4 linked regions of the Xenopus tropicalis genome follow. The protein of the gene in region 1 interacts with the protein of each later gene in a pairwise test. Links are inferred from orthologs where the notes say so. Each region holds a gene or a part of one and is shown in the gene's direction. Other genes may lie near its edges. The genes, in order: aqp1, trim23, rgs17 and cep44.

Evidence for each region.
Region 2: the proteins of aqp1 (region 1) and trim23 interact in binary tests that used the Homo sapiens proteins (3 or more experiments, as listed by UniProt). The two-hybrid records come from large-scale screens. The link is inferred for Xenopus tropicalis from reciprocal best matches to the Homo sapiens genes AQP1 and TRIM23.
Region 3: the proteins of aqp1 (region 1) and rgs17 interact in binary tests that used the Homo sapiens proteins (3 or more experiments, as listed by UniProt). The two-hybrid records come from large-scale screens. The link is inferred for Xenopus tropicalis from reciprocal best matches to the Homo sapiens genes AQP1 and RGS17.
Region 4: the proteins of aqp1 (region 1) and cep44 interact in binary tests that used the Homo sapiens proteins (3 or more experiments, as listed by UniProt). The link is inferred for Xenopus tropicalis from reciprocal best matches to the Homo sapiens genes AQP1 and CEP44.

The regions. Positions count from the first base shown.
Region 1 is NC_030682.2:8,352,010-8,359,470, forward strand, and holds the start of aqp1 (aquaporin-1), read left to right. Parts: upstream 1-2,384; 5' UTR 2,385-2,411; coding exon 2,412-2,816; intron 2,817-7,461. UniProt on the Homo sapiens protein: Forms a water channel that facilitates the transport of water across cell membranes, playing a crucial role in water homeostasis in various tissues.
Region 2 is NC_030677.2:187,785,302-187,792,834, forward strand, and holds the start of trim23 (E3 ubiquitin-protein ligase TRIM23), read left to right. Parts: upstream 1-3,017; 5' UTR 3,018-3,483; coding exon 3,484-3,573; intron 3,574-5,001; coding exon 5,002-5,164; intron 5,165-5,764; coding exon 5,765-5,886; intron 5,887-6,601; coding exon 6,602-6,880; intron 6,881-7,533. Other genes in the region: trappc13 (trafficking protein particle complex subunit 13), read right to left, coding at 2,884-2,929.
Region 3 is NC_030681.2:42,987,345-42,994,237, reverse strand, and holds the end of rgs17 (regulator of G-protein signaling 17), read left to right. Parts: intron 1-3,809; coding exon 3,810-3,998; 3' UTR 3,999-4,865; downstream 4,866-6,893. UniProt on the Homo sapiens protein: Regulates G protein-coupled receptor signaling cascades, including signaling via muscarinic acetylcholine receptor CHRM2 and dopamine receptor DRD2.
Region 4 is NC_030677.2:48,382,329-48,389,959, reverse strand, and holds the start of cep44 (centrosomal protein of 44 kDa), read left to right. Parts: upstream 1-2,874; 5' UTR 2,875-2,983; intron 2,984-3,060; exon of another isoform or gene 3,061-3,156; intron 3,157-3,370; exon of another isoform or gene 3,371-3,663; intron 3,664-4,606; 5' UTR 4,607-4,647; coding exon 4,648-4,736; intron 4,737-5,471; coding exon 5,472-5,619; intron 5,620-7,631. UniProt on the Homo sapiens protein: Centriole-enriched microtubule-binding protein involved in centriole biogenesis. In collaboration with CEP295 and POC1B, is required for the centriole-to-centrosome conversion by ensuring the formation of bona fide centriole wall.

The DNA.
Region 1 (7,461 bases):
GTAATGACTCAGACTCTTTATAAATTAGATTGTAAGCTCACTGGGGCAGGGACTGATGGGAATGGGATAGGGACCTTAGATTGTAAGCTCACTGGGGCAGGGACTGATGGGAATGTGATAGGGGCCTTAGATTTGTAGCTCACTGGGGCAGGGACTGATGGGAATGGGATAGGGACCTTAGATTGTAAGCTCACTGGGGCAGGGACTGATGGGAATGTGATAGGGGCCTTAGATTGTAAGCTCACTGGGGCAGGGACTGATGGGAATGTGATAGGGACCTTTAGATTGTAAGCTCACTGGGCAGGGACTGATGGGAATGTGATAGGGACCTTAGATTGTAAGCTCACTGGGGCAGGGATGATGGGAATGTGGGAGGGGCCTTAGACTGTAAGCTCACTGGGGCAGGGACTGATGGGAATGCTCACTGGGGCATGATGGGAATGGGGGGGGCCTGATTGGAATGGGGCCTTAGATTGTAAGCTGGGGGGCATGGGGACTGATGGGAATGTGATAGGGACCTTAGATGTAAGCTCACTGGGGCAGGGACTGATGGGAATGTGATAGGGACCTTAGATTGTAAGCTCACTGGGGGCGGGACTGATGGGAATGTGATAGGGACCTTAGATTGTAAGCTCACTGGGGCAGGGGCTGATGGGAATGTGATAGGGACCTTAGAATTGTAAGCTCACTGGGGCGGGGACTGATGGAATGTGATAGGGGACCTTAGATTGTAAGCTCACTGGGGGCAGGGGACTGATGGGAATGGGATAGGGACCTTAGATTGTAAGCTCACTGGGGCGGGGACTGATGGGAATGTGATAGGGACCTTAGATTGTAAGCTCACTGGGGCAGGGACTGATGGAATGTGATAGGGGACCTTAGATTGTAAGCTCACTGGGCAGGGGCTGATGGGAATGGGATAGGGACCTTAGATTGTAAGCTCACTGGGGCGGGGACTGATCGGAATGTGATAGGGGCCTTAGATTGTAAGCTCACTGGGGCAGGGGCTGATGGGAATGGGATAGGGACCTTAGATTGTAAGCTCACTGGGGCAGGGACTGATGGGAATGTGATAGGGACCTTAGATTGTAAGCTCACTGGGGTAGGGACTGATGGGAATGTGATAGGGCCCTTAGATTGTAAGCTCACTGGGGCAGGGACTGATGGGAATGGGATAGGGGCCTTAGAGTGTAAGCTCACTGGGGCAGGGGCTGATGGGATAGGGCCCTTAGATTGTAAGCTCACTGGGGCAGGGACTGATGGGAATGGGAAAGGGACCTTAGATTGTAAGATCACTGGGGCAGGGACTGATGGGAATGGGATAGGGACCTTAGATTGTAAGCTCACTGGGGCAGGGACTGATGGGAATGGGAAAGGGACCTTAGATTGTAAGCTCACTGGGGCAGGGGCTGATGGGAATGTGATAGGGACCTTAGATTGTAAGCTCACTGGGGCAGGGACTGATGGGAATGGGAAAGGGACCTTAGATTGTAAGCTCACTGGGGCAGGGGCTGATGGGAATGTGATAGGGACCTTAGATTGTAAGCTCACTGGGGCAGGGGCTGATGGGAATGTGATAGGGACCTTAGATTGTAAGCTCACTGGGGCAGGGGCTGATGGGAATGGGATAGGGACCTTAGATTGTAAGCTCACTGGGGCGGGACTGATGGGAATGTGATAGGGACCTTAGATTGTAAGCTCACTGGGGCGGGACTGATGGGAATGTGATAGGGGCCTTAGATTGTAAGCTCACTGGGGCGGGACTGATGGGAATGTGATAGGGACCTTAGATTGTAAGCTCACTGGGGCGGGACTGATGGGAATGTGATAGGGACCTTAGATTGTAAGCTCACTGGGGCGGGACTGATGGGAATGTGATAGGGACCTTAGATTGTAAGCTCACTGGGGCGGGACTGATGGGAATGGGATAGGGACCTTAGATTGTAAGCTCACTGGGGCAGGGACTGATGGGAATGGGATAGGGACCTTAGATTGTAAGCTCACTGGGGCAGGGACTGATGGGAATGGGATAGAGACCTTAGAGTGTAAGCTCACTGGGGCAGGGGCTGATGGGAATGTGATAGGGCCCTTAGATTGTAAGCTCACTGGGGCAGGGACTGATGGGAATGGGAAAGGGACCTTAGATTGTAAGCTCACTGGGGCAGGGAGTTGCAGTGAGTAAGTTACACGTATGTGTATGGGGAGTGAGTCTGTGAGTAAATCAGTAACTGGGGAAGGTGGGGGAGCCGGCAGGAGTAACTGGCAGTGAGACTGGGATGCGGCTGCTCCTTCCTCCCTTTGTGCAACCCCCCCTCTCCGCCTACAGACCCCCCCGGCCCCTATAAATATCCCCCCGGCTCCTCTCTCCCTCAGACCCGAGCCCATAGGGAAGCAGCACAGAGAGGGAGAGGATGGCGAGTGAGCTGAAGAAGAAGGCTTTCTGGCGGGCAGTTATTGCCGAGTTCCTGGCCATGATCCTGTTTGTGTTTATCAGTATTGGCGCTGCCCTGGGGGTGCAGTACCCCATACCCGCCGACGCCGCCAACGCCACCAACACCGACACTCGCCAACAAGACATCGTCAAGGTTTCCTTGGCCTTTGGACTGGCCATTGCCACGTTGGCTCAGAGCGTTGGCCACATCAGCGGAGCCCACCTCAACCCAGCTGTCACCCTGGGCTGCCTGCTCAGCTGTCAGATCAGCATCCTGAAGGCTCTTATGTACATTATTGCCCAATGCCTGGGCGCCGTCGTGGGCACCGCCATCTTGTCCGGCATCACCACCCAGATCAGCAACAACTCACTGGGGCTCAATGGGGTAAGTACCCCCAAGTCTCATTGTGTACCCATCTGTATATGGCCAGCTGGCACCTACACATTGTCATTGGTCAGGTCTGTCAGTCTGTCTATCTATCTATCTATCTATCTATCTATCTATCTATCTATTTATCTATCTATCCATCTAGATAGATAGAGAATGGGTGACCAATAGCAGCTGGTTTATAGGCCCCTCCCATGCTCAGTGCTGGCATAAATGCACCTACATGTGCCCAGTTATGGCTACAAGCCCCCCAATCCAAGATAATCTCTTTGTAGTCCAAACTCTTCTTAGTGGGGCATAATAGGACCTGTGGCCCTGGGTCCCTGCAGAGCATAATTGTTCTATTGGTGGAAAGAGTTGGGCAGAGTTGGCCAGAGAGATGGACAGAGAGTTGGGCAGAGTTGGCCAGAGAGATGGACAGAGAGTTGGGCAGAGTTGGCCAGAGAGATGGACAGAGAGTTGGGCAAAGTTGGCCAGAGAGATGGACAGAGAGTTGGGCAGAGAGTAAGGCAGAGTGTTGGGCAGAGAGTTTGGTAGAGAGTTGGGCAGAGAGTTGGGCAGAGAATTGGGCAGAGTAGGACAGAGAGTTGGGCAGAGAGTAGAGCAGAGAATAGGTCAGAGTTGGGCAGAGAGTTGGGCAGAGAGTTGGACAGAGAATAGGGCAGAGTTGGGCAGAGAGTAGGGCAGAGAGTAAGGCAGAGAGTTGGGCAGAGAGTTTGGTAGAGAGTTGGGCAGAGAGTTGGGCAGAGAGTTGGGCAGAGAGTTGGGCAGAGAGTTGGGCAGAGAGTTGGGCAGAGAGTTTGGTAGAGAGTTGGGCAGAGAGTTGGGCAGAGAGTTGGGCAGAGAGTTTGGTAGAGAGTTGGGCAGAGAGTTGGGCAGAGAGTTGGGCAGAGAATTGGGCAGAGTAGGACAGAGAGTTGGGCAGAGAGTAGAGCAGAGAATAGGTCAGAGTTGGGCAGAGAGTTGGGCAGAGAGTTGGACAGAGAATAGGGCAGAGTAGGACAGAGAGTTGGGCAGAGAGTAGAGCAGAGAATAGGTCAGAGTTGGGCAGAGAGTTGGGCAGAGAGTTGGACAGAGAGTAGGGCAGAGTTGGGCAGAAAGTTGGACAGAGAGTAGGGCAGAGTTGGGCAAAGAGTTGGGCAGAGAGTTATGCAGAGAGTAGGGCAGAGTTAGGCAGAGCGTTGGGCAGAGAGTAGGGCAGAGTTGGGCAGAGAGTTGGGCAGAGAGTTGGGCAGAGAGTTGGGCAGAGAGTTATGCAGAGAGAAGGGCAGAGTTAGGCAGAGAGTTGGGCAGAGAGTAGGGCAGAGTTGGGCAGAGAGTAGGGCAGAGTTGGGCAGAGAGTAGGGCAGAGTTGGGCAGAGAGTTGGACAGAGAGTAGGGCAGAGTTGGGCAGAGAGTTGGACAGAGAGTAGGGCAGAGTTGGGCAGAGAGTTGGACAGAGAGTAGGGCAGAGAGTAGGGCAGAGTTGAGCAGAGAGTTGGGCAGAGAGTAGGGCAGAGTTAGGCAGAGAGTAGGGCAGAGTTAGGCAGAGAGTTAGGCAGAGAGTTGGGCAGAGAGTAGGGCAGAGTTAGGCAGAGAGTTAGGCAGAGTTGGGCAGAGATTGGACAGAGAGTAGGGCAGAGAGTAGGGCAGAGTTAGGCAGAGAGTAGGGCAGAGTTAGGCAGAGAGTTGGGCAGAGTTGGGCAGAGAGTTGGGCAGAGAGTAGGGCAGAGTTGGGCAGAGAGTAGGGCAGAGTTGGGCAGAGAGTAGGGCAGAGTTAGGCAGAGAGTTGGGCAGAGGGTAGGGCAGAGTTAGTCAGAAAGTTAGGCAGAGAGTAGGGCAGAGTTGGGCAGAGTTGGGCAGAGAGTTGGGCAGAGAGTAGGGCAGAGTAGGGCAGAGTTGGGCAGAGAGTTGGGCAGAGATTAGGGCAGAGTAGGGGAGAGTTAGGCAGAGAGTTGGACAGAGAGTAGGGCAGAGGGTAGGGCAGAGGGTAGGGCAGAGTTAGGCAGAGAGTTAGGCAGAGAGTTAGGCAGAGAGTTAGGCAGAGAGTTGGGCAGAGGGTAGGGCAGAGTTAGGCAGAAAATTAGGCAGAGAGTAGGGCAGAGTTGGGCAGAGAGTTGGGCAGAGAGTTGGGCAGAGAGTAGGGCAGAGTTGGGCAGAGAGTTGGGCAGAGAGTTAGGCAGAGAGTTAGGCAGAGGGTAGGGCAGAGTTAGGCAGAGAGTTAGGCAGAGAGTAGGGCAGAGTTAGGCAGAGAGTTAGGCAGAGGGTAGGGCAGAGTTAGGCAGAGAGTTAGGCAGAGAGTAGGGCAGAGTTGGGCAGAGAGTTAGGCAGAGAGTAGGGCAGAGTTAGGCAGAGAGTTAGGCAGAGGGTAGGGCAGAGTTAGGCAGAGAGTTAGGCAGAGAGTAGGGCAGAGTTAGGCAGAGAGTTAGGCAGAGAGTAGGGCAGAGTTAGGCAGAGAGTTAGGCAGAGGGTAGGGCAGAGTTAGGCAGAGAGTTAGGCAGAGAGTTGGGCAGAGTTGGGCAGAGAGTTAGGCAGAGAGTTGGGCAGAGTAGGGCAGAGAGTTAGGCAGAGAGTAGGGCAGAGAGTTAGGCAGAGAGTAGGGCAGAGTTAGGCAGAGAGTTATGCAGAGGGTAGGGCAGAGTTGGGCAGAGAGTTAGGCAGAGAGTTGGGCAGAGTAGGGCAGAGAGTTAGGCAGAGAGTAGGGCAGAGTTGGGCAGAGAGTTAGGCAGAGAGTAGGGCAGAGTAGGGCAGAGTAGGGCAGAGTAAGGCAGAGAGTTGGGCAGAGTAGGGCAGAGTTAGGCAGAGAGTAGGGCAAAGTAGGGCAGAGTTAGGCAGAGAGTAGGGCAGAGTAGGGCAGAGTTAGGCAGAGAGTAGGGCAGAGAGTAGGGCAGAGTAGGGCAGAGTAGGGCAGAGTAAGGCAGAGAGTAGGGCAGAGAGTAGGGCAGAGTTAGGCAGAGAGTTAGGCAGAGAGTAGGGCAGAGTTGGGCAGAGAGTTAGGCAGAGAGTAGGGCAGAGTAGGGCAGAGTAGGCAGAGTAAGGCAGAGAGTTGGGCAGAGTAGGGCAGAGTTAGGCAGAGAGTAGGGCAAAGTAGGGCAGAGTTAGGCAGAGAGTAGGGCAGAGTAGGGCAGAGTTAGGCAGAGAGTAGGGCAGAGTTAGGCAGAGAGTAGGGCAGAGTAGGGCAGAGTAGGGCAGAGTTAGGCAGAGAGTAGGGCAGAGTAGGGCAGAGTTAGGCAGAGAGTTGGGCAGAGTAGGCAGAGTTAGGCAGAGAGTAGGGCATAAGTAGGCGCAGAGTTAGGCAGAGAGTAGGGCAGAGTAGGGCAGAGTTAGGCAGAGGTTGGGCAGAGTAGGGCAGAGTTAGGCAGAGAGTAGGCAGAGTTAGGCAGAGAGTAGGGCAGAGTAGGGCAGAGTTAGGCAGAGAGTAGGGCAAGTAGGGCAGAGTAGGGCAGAGTTAGGCAGAGAGTAGGGCAGAGTAGGGCAGAGTAGGCAGAGTAAGGCAGAGTTAGGCAGAGAGTTGGGCAGAGTAGGGCAGAGTTAGGCAGAGTAGGGCAGAGTTAGGCAGAGAGTAGGGCAGAGTAGGGCAGAGTAGGGCAGAGTTAGGCAGAGTAGTAGGGCAGAGTAGGGGCAGAGTAGGGCAGAGTAGGCGAGAGTTAGGCAGAGAGTTGGGCAGAGTAGGGCAGAGTTAGGCAGAGTAGGGCAGAGTTAGGCAGAGAGTAGGCAGAGTAGGGCAGAGTTAGGCAGAGGAGTTAGGCAGAGTAGGGCAGAGTTAGGCAGAGTAGGCAGAGTTAGGCAGAGAGTAGGGCAGAGTTAGGCAGAGAGTAGGGCAGAGTTAGGCAGAGAGTAGGGCAGAGTTAGGCAGAGAGTAGGGCAGAGTTAGGCAGAGAGTAGGGCAGAGTTAGGCAGAGAGTAGGGCAGAGTTAGGCAGAGAGTAGGGCAGAGTTAGGCAGAGAGTAGGGCAGAGTTAGGCAGAGAGTTGGGCAGATGATACTATTAATCACAGTTGCACAAGCAGCAGCCATTCAGCACCCACTGACAGCTGAGGCACCTACTGTATTAACTAACGCCCCCCCACTACAGATACCCCCCCACTACAGATACCCCCCCACTACAGATACCCCCCCACTACAGATACCCCCCACTACAGATACCCCCCCACTACAGATACCCCCCACTACAGATATACCCCCCATTACAGATACCCCCCCACTACAGATACCCCCCCACTACAGATACCCCCCCTACTGTAAAATAATTTCCCCTACTTTATCTTATTTGTGCAACATACTGAGCTGCCCGGGGGGGGGGGGGGGGGGGTCGGCCTTGGGGGGAATATGTAGCCGTTGCACCTGCTCCCTGTACTGATAGGAACCAGCGCTTCCCTGGGGAAAGTCCATCTGCACCGGGACTGCTACACTGTAACCAGTCCCACTCACTCCCAGTCCCACTCACTCCCAGTCCCACTCACTCCCAGTCCCACTCACTCCCAGTCCCACTCACTCCCAGTCCCACTCACTCCCAGTCCCACTCACTCCCAGTCCCACTCACTCCCAGTACCAGCCAGAGTCCCACTCACTCCCGGTACCAGCCAGAGTCCCACTCACTCCCAGTACCAGCCCCACTCACTCCCAGTACCAGCCAGAGCCCACTCACTCCCAGTACCAGTCCC
Region 2 (7,533 bases), on another chromosome or scaffold:
TAAAGGACCTTTATGGTTATTATTGGATTTTGCTAGCACAAATACAACTAGTTTTAAAGTTTCTTTAAAAATACAGCCTAAAAGTATTTGATTGATGTATAAGCCCCTACAGCAATATCTCTGCTTGTGATCTTGTGTGTATAACCATTGAGAGGGAAGGAACAGGCACAACCTGTAGCCAACCAGAGCATCAGAACGTTCATTACAAACCTTAACACAACCAACTTCCATAGGTAAGAGAAAAAAAACAACAACCACAAACATAGCTCCCCATAACCTCTATTTATGATGCTTATTTGGTGCAAACCAGAGCTCACTTAGGGTGCTACTATAAATCACACAGATACAGCACACACACAAAAAAAATTTTTTTTTTTTTTAAGAAAATCTGTTAAGGCTAGGGACCAAGGGAGCGGTTCAGTCACATGTGATAGATCTCTGCTATTATGGGCGACTTACCGCTCATAAATGCCTTTCCACCAGCAACAACAGGAGTCACCAATGGTAAAGCCATTGCATTTCTTCAGTAAGTTGTGCAAAGTTCCCTTCTGCAGGCAACTTCACGTGACTTCGGAAAACCGAGGTGATGTGAAAGGCTTTCCCACCGATTCCTATTGTTGGCGGTGGAAAGCCATTTCGGAGTGGTTAGTTGCCCTTGATAGCTTAGCCTTTATGTACAACTGCATGAGAATAAAGCTTTATAGGATATAATAAGATCATCTCCATGATCTAGATCAGTGATCCCCAACCAATGGCTCGTGAGCAACATGTTGCTCACCAACCCTTTGGATGTTGCTCCCAGTGGCCCTAAAAGAGGTGCTTGTTTTTTTAATTCTGGGCTTGGTGTCAAGTTTTGGTTGTATATAAACCCGGTGTATTGCCAAACAGAGCCTTCTATAAGCTGCCAGTTGACATAGGGCTTACCAAATAGCCAATCACAGCCCTTATTTGGCACCCCAGGAACTTTTTAAATGCTTGTGTTGCTCCCCAACTCAACTTACATTTAAATGTGGCTCACAGGTCAAAAAGGTTGGGGATCCCTGTTCTAGATAATGGTCTAAACATTTCTATATCAATAGACTCTGTATCCTCAGAAAGAGAACATCTAAAACCCTGACAGAGAAGGAAAGATTAACAGTGGTTAGAAATCAGCCCAAAAATGTTTGAATTATCCATTATAAATGATCAGTGTTGCATGGGGGGATGTGAAGTAGTCACAAATAGGACTTTCAGTAAAGTACATTGACACAGATCTCCTGGAATAGCTTAAGGGCAGACTATGGGCTAATGTAACACATAATGACACCATAAACTGAAGCAAATAACATACAGGTATGGGATCTGTTATCCAGAAAGTTCCAAATTATGGGAGGCCATCTCCCATAGACTCCATTATGAGAAAATATTTCTCATTTTTAAAAATGATTTCCCTTTTTCTCTGCAATAATAAAACAGTTCCTTGCATTTGATCCAAATAATTTGGAGGCAAAACAGTCCTATTAGGTTTTATTATGTGGAAAAGCCTTAGGTTCTGAACATTCTGGATAACAGGTTCCATACCTGTAACACATAATGACACCATAAACTGAAGCAAATCCACAAAAAAAAAATGTTGTTAACAATCTATTAAATTTTATATTTGCACTTTGGAGCAGCTATTTACAAAGCAGCCAGCACCAAAAGAGAATTATCGTATTATTTTCATACTGTATTGCTTATATTCCAAGCCACTAAATTGATCAGAAAAATCTTCTTAAAGCACTTATGGGAAAAAATGTTTTGCTTTACATCTATCAATGTCTGATTATTAGAGAACTCCTATCTAGATTCTATGGGGAAAATCTCTTTCCTCTCGTCTCTACCACTTAATCCTGAATGTAACTGTATTTTGTATTATATTTCATTGTACTGACCTGCCTGTTCCATTAATGTTAGTTAATTTGGCATTGTGTGTGCCATTAATTTGTTTTGCTGCACAGCTCTGCTTGCACAAGGTTCACTTTACAATGCTGTTTGTTGCACCCCTTACACGTATATGCATAAATTGGCCCCCGTGTAATGTTTTAAAGCCCCAAAAGACCTAAATAATTACTACCTGATACCAGGGCTATTTATTACATCTACTGTAACTTTTGAATGACGCTGCTCTCAAAAAATAGTAGAACCCTTATATTTGTCAGCTGGATGAGCTCATCCTTGCTATTAACTTACTTTTAATTAGAACAAATGTTCCTTAATGATATATTCTTAATAAAAACCTGGTTTAGTTGAGATTACAGTTTATCTTTCCCATCACTGTTGGTACAGGTTGGTATGTCTATCATTTATCATGTCTATTAGTCAGCACAGAGTTTTTCTGTATTTCCAGCATTATTGTATTTTAGTTCCCCTGCTTGAGGATAATCATACAAAAATGTATTGTAACCGTTGTGGAGCCCACCAATGAGATCATGCCCAATTGGTTAATTCCATGCACTTTCTTTGTGTCCTATGGGCCCCCAACCTGCTCCAAACGCAAGCATAAGCAGGAGGGGGCCACTCAGCTATGGCAGACAATCTGAGTAACTGCTGCTTTGCAGAATAATCATTTGCACTAACTGCGCTGCCATGGGGTTACTGTAGCATCAATGGTTAAGAAGATCACTCAATGTGGCTACCATAATGGCAAGGGATGGAAGTAACTAGAAATGACAGGGCAAGGCAGGGCAGCCTCTTGCTTAGGTGCATAGTCTATGTACTCTGGAACAGAAGTGAGTGGGCCAGGACACCTATGGGAATGGCCAGTGCAGGAAAGCTCTGGCTCCTGTGCTACAGCTTGGGGCAGGCCGGGCTGACTCCCCAGTCAGGGCGCAGAGAACACACACCACAGCCTCACACTGATACCTTTCAGGGCCAACAAATGTTCCTGCTTGGGCTGATTGACGTCCATGGTGCCAGAACCGCCGTCACCACCCCTACACACACCCGGAACTGCCTGTACGGGAAGACGAAAGGGCCAGTTCTAGTAAAACAAAATGCGCATGCGCAGAGGCTTTTTCCGCTTCTCAGTTCTATTATTCACATTGCAACAGAGCCCTGCAAAACTTTTATTTCGACAAAAGCTGCAGAACCACAGAATCGCCGTCTCTGCTATCTATCATTTTGTTTTTGTTTCAGGGGAAAAATATGAGGGCACGTTTGCCAATGTTTAAGATGGCGCCTTATAGCGTTAGCTCCCATTTTTCTGAGGCAAGAGACTGAGTTGGGTTATAGCTATTGGGTGAAACCACTTTGCGGTTTCGCTAGTAATAGTTTTAAAAGCCTTTTGCTCAGTCGGTGGTGTCATACGGATTAGACTTCTCAGATTGCTACTGTTATGAACCTAAGTAGATATATTCATTGTTTTTTAAAACAGGGTTTATTCTTAAATAATGCCATTTTCAACACCAGGATTCACATGATTTCTCAACCCTCTACCCGAAGTGGTACGGTCCAGCTGTCAACATGGCTGTCGCTGTAAACAGACACGGCGGCCCTGGAAGAATGGAGGGCAGCGGACGGCAGAGCCGGACCGGTCCGGGGGGAGCAGTAAAGGTGATACTAGAGCAGGGTTACGGGAGAAGTGTATGCCGTGTAGTTTGGGCCCTGGTTTATCCCTGCAGGAGGGCCCCCCTGCGTCTGGCTATATGCATTCTCCTTCCTACATCATTTCGTTGCAGAGTGCAGGGAGGCTTTAGGGGAAAGGGCAGTTTCGGAGATGGGATACTCCTAGGGGGAAACAAAGCAGAAAGGGCCTATTATATTGTGCTAGAGAGGAAGCTGCGGGGCCCAGACACTGAGTGATAAGCAATTCCAGTATATACTTATGTACAATAACTCTTAAACTTTAGGGGGGGGGGGGGTAATATGAATTTGCTGCGGGGCCCAGACACTGAGTGATAAGCAATTCCAGTATATACTTATGTACAATAACTCTTAAACTTTAGGGGGGGGGGGGGTAATATGAATTTGCTGCGGGGCCCAGACACTGAGTGATAAGCAATTCCAGTATATACTTATGTACAATAACTCTTAAACTTTAGGGGGGGGGGGGGTAATATGAATTTGCTGCGGGGCCCAGACACTGAGTGATAAGCAATTCCAGTATATACTTATGTACAATAACTCTTAAACTTTAGGGGGGGGTAATATGAATTTGCTGTGGGGCCCAGACACTGAGTGATAAGCAATTCCAGTATATACTTATGTACAATAACTCTTAAACTTTAGGGGGGGGGGGGGGGGGTAATATGAATTTGCTGTGGGGCCCAGACACCTCTAGTTATGCCACTGACATTAGCTATGGGCAGCCTTAGAGCTCTTTGTTCTTGTTGTACTGCACCTCCATACATTGGCTAGTAGGGCTATTGAGAGTTCTAGCAGAACAACAACTGGAGGGCTGCAGGTTAAACATCCCTAATATATTATATATACATATATTAATCCCCTTCATCAGACTCCAGGCTTTCTGCATTGCAAGCTACCCACCCCCCTTTAACTCCAGCCCTGGCTGTATGGATAAGTGTAAATGTCCTATACAGGGTTGTCTTTCAACTTTCCTATGCGTTTTAACTCCCAATGAACTACAACTCCCAGCATGCAAAGTCAGCTAGATGTAGGAAGCATATGGATAATACCCAATGGCAGCTATTGATATTCCATACCCACATCTGCAAAGGCAATAAGCCTATTGTATGTATTTATAACTTTATTTTTATATTGCTGCAAGGATACATAGCACTGTATCATTTTAAGAGAAAATGCTGCTTTAATTTATCTTAAACCTTATTAGCACCACCCAGCCTTTCCACTTCCACAGGCAGCTTTCCTGGGCTGTTCAGGAGGAGCAGTGGTCCCCAGCCTGATCTTTAGCAAGCAAATGATACATCCAGCAACATGGTTGCATCCTCGTAACTTTCAGACTGATATATTTAAATGTCTCTCCACAATGTAACCTTTCCACAATTGTTTAATCAACACTAGGTTCTGGAATGTGGTGTCTGTGAAGATGTCTTTTCACTGCAAGGAGATAAAGTTCCACGTTTGCTGCTTTGCGGCCATACTGTGTGCCATGACTGTCTAACACGCCTGCCTCTTCATGGCAGAGCCATACGCTGTCCATTTGACAGACAAGCTACTGAACTAGGTATTAAAGAATTCATTTTTTACTTTACTAAGCAATAGTATTATGTAATGTATTTAAGGTCTCTATAACACAAGGATTTTGATAGCTGTTACCTGCTGCAGATTGCTTCCCATTTGCTTCAAGTTGCTCTGCACTAGCTGCTCTCTCTTGCAACAAATAGATACTGGGTGACCCACTGCTCTCAAACAGGCCCAGACTGGGATTTATAATAGGCAGCTGCCCCTCTGGCATTTGCCAGAATCCACAGATTGCCAGTCTGGGTGTGCTTTAGAAACTCTGGGAACAGCCCATCTTTTGAGAATCTCTCCTTTATTCTGTTCCAAAATGTTAAAAACCATTTGTTTTATTTAATGAATTATTCCTTTGGTATGGGATTAGGTTTTTTTCTTTAATTTGGATCATCATGCCTTAAGACTGTTAAATAAGCATTGACATATTTAAAAAATATATATATTGTTTTGATGCCAGTTTGGATACAATAAGCTACCTTCATTGCCATCAAGTACTAGGCATTGTCTTATAATTGCAGAGAAGCTGAACAGTAAGAAATTAAGATTATTATTTGTTTAAATAATGTGTAAATGTCTTGTTCTTATACAGGAGACTCTGGTGTGTGGGGCTTAAAGAAAAATTTTGCATTACTGGAACTCCTGGAGCGGTTGCAGAATGGTGCCAGTAGTCAGTGTAGCACTGTAGAAGAGGCAATGGGCGGCTCTGGAGAGGTAATGCTGACTGTAGTTATTGTATAGTACATGTGGTAGAGAGGGTATTCAACTTTTTTATTCACCTGTTTTAGCTATGTTAATATAGATGGACCTATTATAAGCCACTTTTCAGTTAATTTTGTATGATTTACATCAAAACCAGAAGCTACAGGGTATACAATATCTTTTATTGGCTAATTCAGTAGATTATAAAAGTAGATTTTATAAACAAAAAATATAATCTGGTTGTTGAAGTTGTCAAAGTTTTAACACCATTCTGACCCTCTAAATGCATTTTTTTGTCCTAGATTTGGTCAGGGCCAGCCCCTTACCATATACCAAAGCTACAAATATATGTAAGCATCACTTTATCAGTTATTAGTTATGCTAATACAGCTTGCAGAATACCAAGGACAGCAAATCAGCACAAAGTTTATCTTATTTGAACTTCAGGAAGTGCTCCTACAAATTTTTGGGTGTATACAGGACCACAAGTATGCATATATCCATATCTTACTCCATTTGGATTTCTTGTTTCGGGATACCTATGGGTCTCGCAGTTCTAGGGACCTGTGCTCTAGATATTTCATTCTATTATTACCCTGTTTTAGGATTCTTTGGAAAAATATTGTACATGTTCTGTTGTATTATTCATTCGCTGGAAGTTTTTAATCTGTCAGAGTATCAGCTTGATTATTAAGCAGCAGTGTTTGTGCTTGCTTTCATTCTGTAGAGCATTGTACGCTGTGATGAAGATGAAGCCCATGTAGCATCTGTGTACTGCACAGTCTGTGCAACCCATCTCTGTGCAGACTGCTCCTTGAATACACATTCCACTAAAACACTGGCCAAGCACCGACGTGTTCCTTTAGCTGATAAGCCTTATGAAAAGACTTTGTGCTCTCAGCACCAAGTCCATGCTATAGAGTTTGTTTGTTTGGAAGATGGCTGCCAGCCCAGTCCTCTGATGTGCTGTGTCTGCAAAGAATATGGAAAACATCAGGGACACAAGGTAGGTATCAGGAGAATAAAGGTCGCCATACAAAGGTTGATAAAAGCTGCCAACTCTGCCTACAAGAGTTAGCAGCTCTTGGGCCTGCCCAACTGATCTATTGACGTAAATTGGCTAGTTATCAATCTGTCAGGTTTGATTATGTCATCCAACGAGGTCTGCATCAGCATATGATGACATCATCATCCAATAGGCCTATAGACCCCTCTATATTATCTGATGACCAATGATCGGATCAGCCTAAAGTGGCCCAGTGTGCCAGATCTGGCAATGTATGACCAGCTTTACTGTAGACATATCAGGGACGCCATTTTGAGAAAATATGGCATCCCTGAATTGCAGGTGTGTACCTTCTTAGAAACTACAGTAGAACCCCTCTTTTACTTTGTTCAGGGAGCCAGAAAATAATGACATGTTCCTATAAAAATAAATAGAAACATATCAGTATTAATAAAGAATTTTGTTTTGGAAAAAGAATTCCTCAAAAGCTGCCTTCAGCCCAGCGATATTTACCGACACTCCAGCATAGCTAAAGGCTGCTCTGCAGTTGTGTCAGTCACACTCGGCTAGAGGCGGTGCGGTCATTCCACAGGCTGGAGTACTGGTTTAAATTCTGCTTAGCTTGTGGAAGGATTGTGCCACCCCCAGACCAG
Region 3 (6,893 bases), on another chromosome or scaffold:
GTACTAATATTATAATACACCTTAATTTTTTTAATTTTAAAGATTATAAAAAAGTCATTTGCCCTCAAGACAGAACTTATTAAGGTGACAGTTCAGTTTCTGTCACTTATCCCTGTAGAGATCTATTGTTGCATTTTAGAGCATGAAAATTCGCATATTCCCTACTTTCTATTCGCAGCACACCTAAGGACAGAGGAAACTATATTCTGTAAGAAAAAAGGGGTAGTAATAACTAATGAGTGCTGAAATTTTTTTTCCTAATTCTGCCTTTCCTCGAACTTAGTTTATAGTGACAGTAGGGACCATTTACGAACACAAGCAGAGTTGCTCTTGGCTGTAGTCAGTTGCACATAAAATGACATTCAGTAGGTACTTGTGTCAACATGCTCCTTGCACTTCTGTATAGTTGCACTTGGCCCCACTGCTTTTTCTGCTCAGGCCATAGGGACAGCTCTAGGAGAGTGTGAAGAGAGACCCTTAGAGATTGAATATCTCTGGATTAAGCAGCCAGGCAGGCGGTTTTCCTTGTTGTAAATGGAATGTAAATGGAATACTGAAAAGACCCTAGGTCTGAACTGAGGTTGCAAAGGGAAACTGCATGTTCCTTAATGATCATGTGTGTATTTCATGTAAATAACTAATAATGCTTAATGACTAATAATACTTAAATGCTCAAAGGCATTTAAAGACTATACTGAGATCCCAAGGAGGAACCAATGTTTAGAAAAATCATTCTTCAGGGTACATGGCCAAGGACCATCTTCTTAAAGCACCAAAGCCTCTGAGCTATGGAGGGCGGCTACTGGTTTTCTGGAATGCCATCAGAGGCATGCCTTTCTGCTGATCTCTGGAGTAAAATGTTAAGACTAATATAAGCAAATTCTCAGGTTGCATTCAGTTAATTTCCCTAAACCAAACCTGGCTAATGGATTTCTTTAACAAACACATACAGGCAATTTGTGCTACAAGTATAATTGTTGTATTTGTCAAAATTTTTGTAGATCTCTAGAAAATATGACCATGAAGCTTTTTGTCTGGGCCAAGATGTCTAGGGTTAGGTGCTGTGATACCTACAGAGGGAGAACAACTTGCTCACTTGGTGTTCCTCCTTGTTGCTATGAGTATAAAGTCTGATTCCCCTCGGACTTTGAACAATTACTTGTAAGGGCTTGGGATGACAAGTCCTTTCCCATGACTAGAAATCAGCCAAAAAATTTGTCAGCCAGTTATTCATTGAAATTTTTTTGTAAACTGCTGAGCACACACAAAGATGGGGACCTGCCCAGAAGCAGATCTCCTGCAAACCCCAATAAAGCCAAACTCTTTCTGCCACCCTATCATCAATAAAACCCCTTCCTTACCAGTGAGCTGCACAGAAACAAGCTGATTGGACTGATTTTCCCTGTTATACAGTGATAGAAAAAAAGTCAGCAAGGTTTTCTTATCCAAAAGCTTTCCGTTATGACTCATTTGCTGATAGCTTGATCCACATGAAAGAGCCAGATTATTATACTACTAGATTAGTATAGAAGCAGAGGATGTGGTTGCTCTTGATGGTTTTTCTAACAATATATATATATATATACACAAGAAGTACATTCTACACTTTTGTCAATGAGATTCTTTAAACATACTTTATGTAATAAAGTGTGGTAGTTTAGTGAGTAGGACTCTACCCTATGAGCAGAACGTTTTTGCTGTATATACAGTATATAGCAGAAGTTCTGACTTTTTGGAAACATCTGCATTTATAATTGAAAAGTTCTCTGAGAAGCACTATGAATATCATGTGTAGGCTGAGGTTTCCTTTGAAACCAGCCTAAAATGTTTGACTTTGAACCAGGACCACATTAGTCACATTTGCTTTTTAAGGATCTCAGTTAGAGGTCATTATATCTATACTTGGACATGTTCCTTTTCCTCTCTATGTTTTCTTATAAGAGAAAATAATAAGCACCAGAGAAATTAAAACAATAGATGATCAGACACTGTCCAATCACCTTGTCTTTTATAACTGTGAGTAAGCAACACAGCACCGTGAGATACACAAGGGTGTATAGCAGAGGTAGAGAAAGACTTTATTACCTCACCAGGGACCCAGAAAATGCAGAGATTAAGGAGAAATTTCCGTTTGATCTGGGTTAAGGGAAATGTAGACGGCATGGAATATTATGACTTCATAAGTGATAAATATGATTTTGTTTTATTTAAAAAAGCAGTACATTTTATAGCATGGCCAAAAGCCAGCCCATGTATATATATCTTTTATGCTCTTGGCAGTGTGTCAATATGCCATGAAGCTGACTTACACATTTCTTTTAAAGTTCTCTTATCTTTTCACTAAACTAAAATATCCCCAAGCATATCAAAATACTTTTATAGAGTAATAAAAAAACAAGTAGTAATCGAAAAACTTTGATACAAAGCCTATCTGCTATATGTTTAGGAAATGGAAGAGTAACTATGGTGTTATGCTGGGAAGGTGGAAAGCAATGTCCTAAGCAAAAAAAATTGAACATTTGGCTGAATTTAGTGTTAATCAAGAAGGGATTGTCATTACAAAAGTGTTTTCCTACCAATGATTATTAGAATAACCAGCATGAACAATTGGAATCAAAGACATTGGAATCAAACCTGTTGGTTATAGCAAGCCTTGCTAAAATAAAATGATCCAGTTGGGAAAGTCAGAAAACATGAGTTTATTTTGCATAAGATTGTCAGGTTTATCAAAAATGTTAAGTTCGACTTTTTCTAAGGTTTTTTTTCCAATTCGTAAAAATGTAAAATCTCAAGTCTGTGCTCCTTTAGTAAAACACTTGAATCTTAAAAAATGTGGAAATTGTGAAAAAAAAAAAACTGGAACGTGGTAAAATCACATTCTACTAAATTCTGAATTAGTCTTGAAAACTTTAATTGAAAAATAGCTTGCTAATACAATTCCTAATGACTTTTATTTTTGAGTTTTTGTGCATAATAAATTTCGAAAATTCACGCTTCAGGACCTCGAATTTGTGATTTTTGCCCCAAAAAATAGGATTGCAGTAAAAAGTCAAATTCAGGTGCTCCTTAGACTCTTTTGTAATAAAGGCAAACAGAATATTTGCAAATGTGCCTGCAAACACAAATAAATGGCTACATTCTTGCACCAAAAGTATTCTATCCATAATTCAGTTTTTACACTGTCTTTAGGGAAAAGGCATAAGAACAGGTTTCCATTTGTAAATGATGACTTTATGCTATGTGAGAAATCTTGGAAATCATTTTTATTTAGTCTTATGACACACAGGGTGTTTTATTGGATAGACGTCTTTAAGCCAATATTGTTACAGACATTAAACTAAGGGGAAGCTTTATAAACATTCAAATTCAAGTTTTTATTGCAATTTAAGATTTTTGCAACAAAAACATAAATTCAAATTTGGGTTTCCAAAACTTGATGCTCAAAAACACAAACAGAAAAAGAAGCTTGTGAGTTCATGTAGACGTCAATGGGAGTTGGAGCAAACTTATTTGAGTTTTTGAGATTCATTTAAAATGTGGCACATTAAAAGGTATTATGGGATTTAGCATTTTTTCATGGTTTTATATCAAGTTTTTGAAATTCCATTTTTTAATATATTAGCACACATTCAAGCTTTTTGAGTTTTCCTGAATTAGGAAAAAAAACTCAAAAATTTGATTTGTGAACAGTTGGCCTTCCCATGTACTGATATTGCCATGAAAACACGGAAAAGGAAAACAAAATACTATACATGCCCAGTGAAACTGTACACTAGCAATCAATAACTTGCTCATTTTCATGCCTACAGGTCAGCCTCGACTCTAGAGTGCGTGAAGTGATCAACCGGAATTTGCTGGATCCTACCCCCCATATGTACGAAGATGCCCAGCTTCAGATCTATACATTGATGCACAGAGACTCTTTTCCAAGGTTTTTGAACTCACAAGTCTATAAGTCTCTTCTTGAAAGTACAGAAGGCTCAATCACTGAATCTTAGCTAAAACCTCTGGATAACATATCTTGTTTTCTTAACAGAACACATATGTAGTTTATTACCATCAGACACTGAGTTCCTGGAGAACTCCACTTGTGCACTACTCAGGCTACTGTGAAGAATAACTTTAAAAATTGTTTGGTCTCCGTCTCCATTTTTACAAGCTCTTCATCTTTGAGTTTGAAAAACAGCAACACTGGAATTGCCACATTTGTTTTCTATGCTATTTACTTGAGTATATCATTACAATGATATATTGGGTGGACTATGAACAGACTCCTTGTTTTATTTCATGTTGCATGTGCAAGGGTAATAGCTGTCCTCAACACACCAATTCATTGTTGCAATATATAGCCAATTGCATTAACGACGTAGTTACTGACATTTTATGTGCAATACAGTATTATGTTCAAATATTGAAATGAAACTTTGGCTTGATTTGTATTCCTTCAGATGGGCATTTTAGGATAATCCAATTTTCAATTAGATGGTGTTTTACAGTGGTATAAAGAGTGGATACTAACAAGCCAATACACAAACAAGCAAAGCTAATTATCCTTGTGTGGAGGAAATTAAAGTGGAATTTCCACGGATGTTCACTGCCAAACTGTGGCTCTCTTATATTTTTATTAATGAGTTTGCAATGTCAAATAAGCACAAGCAATCTAAAGGATACCTTGTATGGATGACCAAATATTTCAGCTGATATTGTTTATTGTTCTAGCAAAAAAAAAAAAACATATTTATGTACATTGTAAATGTAAGTAAAACTGGGCGACCGGTTTTAACATTGTTGTCTAGCATTATGTATTTCAGCAAAAAAAATAAAATAAAAATATTTATACTTTAATATTTCAAGAAAAATAGAAATGAAGATGTTTACCTATATGTAGCATTTGAAAACCTTTTGATGACACAGATGTCTTTTATTATGACTGAATGAGAACTACTTTTTTTTTGACAAAGAAACTTTAACTTTAAAAATAGCTACTTTGAAAATGTTGTAAAATATCAATCCTTCTACACATTTCTAAACATTCTTAGTAACAAGGATCTGTAGAAACCAGCATTACAACCAAACGTTATTCTTCGTATTGCTTTACGGTAGATTTTTTTATGGTTTTTAAATTGCTTTGAGTGTATATATAAAATATATACAGGTGTGGAATCTGTTATCCAGAATGCTCGGGACCTGAGGTTTTCCAGATAAGGGATCTCTCCGTAATTTGGATCTCCATAACTTAAGTATTGAATAAACCCAAAAGGCTTGTTTTGCCTCTAAAGATGAATTATATCTTAGTTGGGATCAAGTACAAGGTACTGTTTTATTATTAAAGAGAAAATAATTATTTGCTTACAATGGAGTCTATGGGAGATGGCCTTTCCGTATTTTGAAACGTTCAGGGTAACAGGTTTCCAGATAAGGGATCCTATACCTGTATATATATATATACATGCACACACACACATACACAACGTATATCTCCATTATCTCTATAAAAAAAGCAAAATTTGTTAAAAAATGATCACATCTTGCCAGATCTAACATCACAGTGACAGTAAAAATGCTTATTAAAGCTTAAACTGCATGATTTTCGGAGCGGCAAATCCAGCCTCACGGTTACAATTTTCTTTTAAAATTCTTGTTACTACCTCGGTATTATTTATTTTTGCTTTATTTATTCAGACTTTTTTTCAATTGTGTAATTTTTTTTTTATCTATAATTTTGCATGGTTTAAGATCTATAAAAATGAAATATTTTGCATTGGTAATTTGTACAGAATTCAGGAGAAATGGATATTAAAGGGCTATTACCTGTTCCCTATGCAAATAGTTTACCTGTGTAAGTGTTTGACAGAAATAAAAAAAGGTTAAAAGAACTAATAAATTTGTAAATAGGAAAATATAGGTTCTGTTTACATTGAGGATCTGGATATTCTGAGATATTCAGCACTTTTACGACAAATACGACTACTATTTGTAACGTTGTAGATACATTCACGATAAAAATATTTATAAATGATAATTTCTATCATAAAAATGTGTTTTTGTCAGAGAATGCTCCTGTGCGAAGTTTATTCATACTGGCGTTTTCTCCCTGCCATGAATAAGTCTTACGGTGTGTTGCACAGAAATTGAGTGCGTATGTGTGTGTGTTGGGTTCTTATTTTTTTTTCTTTTTTAGAAAATCTGAAAAAAAAGTTAAAAATAAAATAAACTAGTGATATTTCCACTTCAGGAATGAAGACTTGCATTTACTGAGATTTAGAGAAGACCCTTGCCTAATTAAAATTGTGTTTACTGTATCGTTCGAATTTTTGTGTCCATTTAGATGGTATGGTGCTCAAGGAGCAATAACTCCGACCATGTTGAGAAATGAATTTGTACCGATATAGTCTATAAGATGTACAGACAGGTTTATCTGGGTAGAGTTTCAGTTCTGCTGCTAGCAGTTGTTAAGAGACAATTGTTTACAGTAGTAAAAACCTCAGTCTACAGAGAAGAAACCTAGACTCGTTGCTGGGTGGAAAATAGTTTGGAGAGTAAGACGTGTCCTCTTTTACCGTGTTGGGACATTAAGGAAACACGTTGACTTTCCCTTTCCTTCTGACAAGTGTGCAGATCATGTTAAAGGATTTGCTATTTCTATTTTCATTATTGAACCCCTGCCGATTTTAAGAGGTTTGAATGCATGAACATTATATTTATTACGCAGTGGTTATTGCTGCTACAAGAAAATTGAATACTGCATGGGTTGTGCTTGTACCAGATTTTTCTTAATGCGATGCGCATATGTACTATAGTTGTTTAAGGCCTTGTGAAGTTGGGCAAGTGGCAGTTCTCATTGGGCCAGTTAGCTTAAAGGTGCATTCATATTTCACACAATGAATTGTTCA
Region 4 (7,631 bases), on another chromosome or scaffold:
GCAGGATTCTGGGAAAGCTCTATTAACTGAACAGACACACCCAAAAATGATATAGACACAGTGTTTACATAAAGGAATGTTTATGGCATTAAACGTCACACGCACAAGTTGTACTTATCTTCAACTGTCTTCATGAGGAAATATGACTTTGTAACTTATTCCACTTGTGTTGCATCTTCCCAATTGTCTTCAATGTATTTGATATTTAATTTTCCATTTACATATTTGATAGTAGTTTGGGTACAAATCAAGCAATTGAGGAGCTGAAGAGATGTAACTGCCAACCTTTCCCCCCCAGCCAACTGCTTGTTATAAGCACACAATCGGTAATTATTAAGGCTTTATACCAATATATACAATAAGAACAACTTATTATTGGTTTCCTTAAAGGAGAACTAAACCTGCAAAAAAGAAACATTTCTCAAATGTTTCTCATTACCCCTCCTCTTGAACCGCCACATTAAAAATTGTTTTATTATTATTTTAATTGTGCACTACTAGTTCAAACATTGCCAGTATTAAAGACTTTGCTTCTGCCATGTTCTTTTACCCATATCACACACCCCCGTGTTTCATTGCAACTGCGCATGCCTTCTTACCCTGCTGGTTGCATAAACTACACGTGGGTTCAGACTGCATTATAAACAAACAGTTCTGCCCCACAGACCTCATTCAGACCAGAACCCTGATTAGCTTTTGGTGTAAATTGCTCCTTCGCTCGCTGATACCCTGTAAACAAAAGCAAGCAGAGGAGCTTGAAAGCTTCTCTTCAGGATGTCTGCAAGGCAACAGGACCACATAAACCTTATTGGCACATGATATAAGACAGGAGAGCCTGAGAGATCAGTGATGATTCTTGGGTAGGTCATGGACCCAAGTATCATTGCTAGAATGCCCAGGACTCCAAAATGATGAAATGCTCACGTGTGTGCCCAGAATCAGCTCATTTCTAGAAGCGAAGAAAGTTAAAGTTTGCACTGCAGCAGCTTTTAACTTATTTTAAAAATGAGTGATCATTCTAAATTATTCACAGCATCCTAGAAGAAATCCTTTTTTAGCACATAGATCTACATGTATAGGCCAATAATTAACGCTTTATTTATTTTTTTACCATTCCTTGTTTAAATCACCTGATAACCTAGCTAATTGAAATATATAATGTGCATGTAGTTATAGCTTAGGCACAGAACAATAACTAACTCTTAACAATGTTGTCTTAGTAAAGTGCACATTGAAAGCCAAATTACAAAGGGTCCAATAGATTGTAGGTGTAAAAAATAGAAGATAACACAATACAGGCAAGTGATAAAAAGAGTTGGTAGTTAGAGATGTGTCAGGTAGACTTAGATGGGTCAAGTGTGTCTTTTTTAAGAATAGTTCAAAACAGGTCTGCGTGAATAAAGAGGTGAATAGTCCAGAAGCTACGGAAGTGTTTGATATATGGGTCAATACTGGCGTAAGATCAGCAGCACAGTGTTTAAAGGGGTTGTTCACCTTTTAGTTAACTTTCAGTATGAAGTAAAGAGTAATATTCTGAGACATCTTGCAATTCTTTTTAATTTTTTGTGTTATATGAGGTTTAATTATTTCACTTTTTGTTTAGAACCTACAAGTATGGAATTTCAGCAGCTATCTGATTGCTAGGGTCCAAATAACCTTACCAACCAGGGGGTGTTCCCCTCAAACAGTGCTGGTACATTAAAACTACCCTCGCCTGACAGATGCAAATTTTAATATATATATTTCTTATTTATTATATAAGAGTATCAGCCCCCCCTTATCTCAACACAGACAGCCTGGTGTAAGACTAAATGACCATTTTGGTCAATACTTTCTCTGCAGCCTATGGGGTAATTTTCTGAAACTGGACAATTTCTTGGGGTGAAAATGTCAACATTTTTGATGTGAAAAAAACCCCAATATATTTCTTCTTATTTTTTGACTGAGGGTTTATGTCCATACAAAGTACAGCTGGGCACAGGGCAGCTTTGTATGTGTCTATTAACCTTTATTTACATAATCCTAACTAACTGAACTTTATGTCAAATAAGCTCAATTAAAAGCAAAGTAAAATTAAAGTAAATAGTACCATTTCAGTAAATTGTGCTCATACCATTTCCATGATAAGATGCTCCATGGGCAGAAAGGAAACAGTAATCTAAGCAACACAGCCAATACAAGTAACTAGCCCTCCTGCTTCTGTAAGAGTTGAGCTGTTGGTTGAAGACAAAGTGCAGGCAGAGGAATCAGTTAGGACTAGCTGCAGTGTTCAGGACATTAGGTTGTGCAGATGGTATGGGCACAGTTTAATGGTATGAGCCAGTATCACCTCAGTGCTATAACCAAAAGTTACATGAGTCACAAGCACTAATTCCCCTGACTCTCGAGTTTGGGCGTGGGATCAGTGCTAATATTTGAATACACTTCAAAACAACATTCACTTGCAAGAAATATGGTTGACACATTTAAATTGTAGTTATTTTTTCACTTAAACAGAGTTAAAGGTGGATTAGTGAATGCCATGAACCTTTGTATTCCTACACCCCAAAGATCTGAATTTCAAAAGCAACCATTCTCGCTAGTCAGAGAAACAGAAGTGAGAAGAAACCCACTTACTTACACCATGAGTGCCGTATCTTGACAGGTGCACACAACCCTCCTGCGCTCTCTCTTGCTCCTCTCTGCTGCCTGGTTCCTGAGCTCCCAGTGGTTCTTCTCGCATCCAATCATGTGACCGTGATGTCACTAACCTACAAGGAGGCAGACGGGACAAACTTGCTCAATGTGTACTAAACTGTTGTACTGCTTATTCTATTACGCTTTCAGTAATGACGCTATGGGTGTTGCCATGGCTACCACAGGAGCCACTCCAACTTCCTTTTCCTGTTTTCGCAGACTCCTCCAACTCGACTGGAAATGACAGAACTTATGATGACACCTTTAGTGAGGAATTTGATAAAAGGCCGCTAGAGCAACTAACTAGGTTCGGCCTTGAGTAGGCATAGCAGTTAAAGGAGCAATAAAACCAAAATAAAAAAAATGTATCAATGGTACAGGTACCTGGCGTGAGACGGCTGCATTAAAACGTTTTATGGTTTTTCTAAAGGGGTTACTAAATATTTCGCCGTAGAGGCTCTGCTGTGCAGATTCTAACATGGTTGTAGGGACCACCTTTGTAAAACAAATACGTTATATAGACTACATGGTGCTTATGTGGAAATAAACAGTGGGGGCAATACGGGAGCGCGCTCCTAGTGGGCTTCCAGTGAATTCGGGAGCGCGCTCTCAGGGGGTTTCCAGTGAATTCGGGAGTGCGCAGCGTGTGGTTTTACAGCTAACGCGGGAGCGCCTGGCTTTCTATGTTACGTATAACGCGGGAGCGCGCATTCCGTGTGAGCGGTCTTTGGGCTGTGGAATGGCGGGAGGATTCGTATGGGGAAAAGTGGGGCTGAGCTGAGCTGAAGCCATTTATGCGGAGCTCAGGAAGTTGAAAGCGGGAGTGCGGGGACTGGTAGCGTTCGGTTGGAAAGAGCCTGTGTGTGGGACGCTGTGAGGGCTCTTACAACACAAGGCGTTATAGGGTATTCCAAACACTTGCACTTCTACCTATGTCCTACCAGCTCTGAAAAGCGAGGTGAGCTAAGGAACCGGAGGGCCAAAAGGGTATGTTTGCTTTCATAGGCTATTTGGGTGTCACATGACTTGTGTAATACTTTGATGCGCCCCTCATAATAAAATAATAATTGGCAGACGTACAGGAGATGAAGCAATAACCTCAATATAGGTAAACTGTTATAATTGCCTTTATATTACCTTACAAATATTAGTGTTCTAGTTGCAGCTTTTAGTTGCTTTTGGCTTTGAATGGTTTATGAGGGAGCCCAGATGCCAGTGTGTATGACAGTAAATGGCCTTTACCCTCCACCAAGTATACTTTGTAATGCTTTCCTTATCGTTTGTCTGTGCTGGCACTAGGGTTATTGTGCAGATTGCAACTAGTGTTTTAGCCTGAAGCAGTGTAAAATCCTGGTATTTACTCCAGACAGAAATACAACAGGGGTGTGTACTATGTTTACCATCAGCCAGCTTCCCACTAAGGCACCTTTGCAAAATAAAAGAATTCCGCCGGTGCCAGCTCTCTGATACGCATCCATCAGATGCTTGAAAAGTTACATTGCAAAAGTGTATGCAAGCTTTTGGGGCTTAATAATTTCTGTGAGCTCAGGCCTATCTCGCAGGGTTCTCAGGTAGGGATATACACTCATAGGCCTGTGTTTAGGTGAGCACTTTCCTCATTCATCATGTGACAGCAGGTTGCCAAATGATGCACAATTTCAGTGTATATAGATGTGTGTGAAAGAGATAATCTTGTCCAAACTATTTTTTTTGGATTGGTTATTATATATATATATATATATATATATATATATATATATATATAATTAGTATAAAAAAGACCAGCAACTCCGGGATTTCTTGTGAAAAATCAAAACATATATTCAAAACAGCATAAACAGCCGCCGTAACGTTTCGGTCCCCATCGGGACCTTTCTCAGGGCATCATATATATATCCATAACATTAATATGTCTTCTTCTGTTTCTTAGGTTAAGTTTGGTTATTCGTGTGTGGAAGATCTAGGAAAACCATGGCAACTGGGGATGTAAAAGGCTGTATTCGAAAGTTAGAACAAAGACTAAGAACACTTAATTACCCTAGGGATGTGGACTATTCAGGGTAAGATTCCCTTTCTTAAAGTCCTATAATTATGTTTCTGAGAAAAAGATATTTAGTACTGTGTTTTATTTTTTATTTTTTCAAAGGAGAAGGAAAGGTAAAAACTAAGTAAGCTTTATCGGAAAGGTCTATGTAAATACAGCTATAAGCACTCACAGCAACACTGCACTGAGTTCTCTGTCAAAAGAAACAGAATTTGTTGTCTCTTTGTTTTCCTGTGCCAGAGACACACAGCTCTTTCCTCTCTCCCTCAAGAATGCTAAGAACTCACTCCCCCCCCCCCATCTTAGGAATGTGTGATCTGAGCCAATTAGCTGGAAGCTTCCTCATAGTCTTACAAACTGAGCATGTACACAGGTCTTGGTCTTGGTGCAGGAGCAAGGCATTATGGGAACGTTCTTTACAGAGCTCAGCATTTTTCTTTTCCTGTGAGGCTTCTGATTATCAGAACGGGAGAAATATGGGGAGACTTAAGGGCACTATTGAGAGAACTGAAGGAATGCCTGCAGCTTGAGATTAACTCTTTATTAGCCTTTGCTTCTTCTTTAAGTAACTTTATACAGGTCAGTTCTTTTTAATGTCATGTTATCTTTAAAAAAGACAGTTTTCTTACCAGCAATTAGTTTTTAAACCAATGGGAACTGTATGAATATTGGCAATGAGTATTTCTAGCACCTGCCATGCTTAATTTTAATCATAGATAAATTATTTTTTAACATTTTTTAAATTCCACAGATTGATTAAAGGAGATCCTTCTGCATTCTTGCCTATCATCAGTTACACATTCACATGCTATTCCACAAGCATTGCAGAGATTTTGATTTCTTTGGGTATAGAGCTCGCAACTAAGAGCGATTTGAGATTTATTGAAGCAGTCTATAAGGTAAATTGTATTCTAAGATCAGTAATCTTTGTACCGTAATGTTATTTTTGCCCATGTATTCTTATGTATCATATCTGAATTGAGTGGCTTAGGAATTATGTTCATCCATATATGTGGTTGCATATGCGTAATAATGGGTCATGGAGGGTCTTAGCAGTTTGACGTGCTGCTGAGTTTTATATACTCCGGTATGTAGGCTCATGCGAAATGGAAGACCAGGTAAGTTTGACTGTAGTGACGCGGTCTTATATAGACACGTGTGAAATTCACTCAGGAAGTAGCTTCGTTAACTGAGGCTACACAGTGCTAAAACGCGTTAGGAATATGACCAGCAGGAATGAATGCACTTTTGTGCTGCATGATTTCCAACTCTCTCACATACTCCAAGCACTTTACTATGAAATCTCCCTTAGGATCACCTCAACTTAAGGATAAATGCACTGCGCACTTCCATTCACCTGCTTTATCTTCCTGATCAGTGGAATGCTATCTAACTGATGCACTTTCACCTTGCATATTATTTCATTTTAATGTATGTTCTCACATTAATATTGAATCAGTATGGAGACGTTTAGGAAACACCTTCTCCACATGGGAAGCATTATTCACTAATACATAAATACTTTCTGGCAAGCTTAAAAATAAGTGGAGTGGACCTTGTCAATTGCTTACTGCCTTTTAGTGTATATTAAGTCTAAAGGTGGCCATACACGCACCGATATTATCGTACGAAACCTCGTTTCGTACGATAATCGGTGCGTGTATGGCATGTCGGCGAGTCAACCGATATTGCAGGAAGCTGCTGATATCGGACGACTCGCCGATCGGTCCAGTTTGAAAATTTTGATCGGGCGCCATAGAAGGCGCCTGACCAAAATTCTCCCTTCAGAGCTGAATCGGCAGAAAGAGGTAGAAATCCTATTGTTTCTACCTCCTTACCTGCCGATTCAGCCCTGAATGGTGTGTGGCGGATCTTACGATGTTTCGTGCGACCGATGGTCGTACGAAACATCGTCAGATCGCCACGTGTATGGCCACCTTAAGTTGACGTGCATGCAACTGTAAAGTTTTTGTAAATGGAGGGCAATCAGCAGTGCTGAATCTGAGTTTAAGTGCATGCATCATTGCTGTGTCATTGTAGCCCTCTGTGCACCAGGCTGTATTCTTATCGATGTAAAATGCTAAGCAGATTGGAGAGTCTGCAAGAGAGTGAACCCAAATCCCAACCCTGTTCAGAGATATGTACAGACCTAAAGAGCTGCTTACAAATGCGAACAGCCAGAGATTGAAGCAGTTCTTTATCAAAGTTTTCTGATTTTCTCTGGCTTTCATGAAAAAAAGAAACTTTGAAGTTGTTGTTTCCATTTATATATACATTTCTGGAACAGAGTGGCCTTTTAAGAACTCTGTTAAGGAATGGTATAGATAGCATAATGAGGGGGTGGGGAGCAGTTTAAGGGGCAAAAGTGCAGTTTTGAAAAGGAGGGGGGTAGCAGAATGATGAAAAAACAGGTGGAAGTAAAAAAAGAAAGAAGAGGAGAAGAAGTAAACCAAAGAAAGAGAAAAGAAAATGAAATTTCAATTTGTATTTTTTTCTTATGGTTTTTGAGATATGAAGGGTTTGTTAGTATGCTCTCGATCTAATTTTAAGGCAACTGCAAATAACTCATACATGCTGTTGGTCAGTAGTGCATTGCAAATTGTTTACATACCTGCCAGTTAGAGCAGGTGTAACCTATCAGTGACGCACAGCATGAGTGTGTTAGGTTGTGCACCTAACAAAAAACATGGAAAGTTTTTTTTTTACTTTAAAAGAGCTGCACTAGCCAGAAATAAAAAGTAAAAGCCTGCTCTTCATACCTCTAGCCTCTTAGTTTTCCCACAGTAAAGTAATCTATCAGGAATAATAGTTATTTTACAGTACAGCTAGTTCAGATAAAAATTTTGTCTCCTTTTCCAAAATGTAATTTTGTTTGCATTGTACACTGTTTGCATTGTACAGTGTACATAGT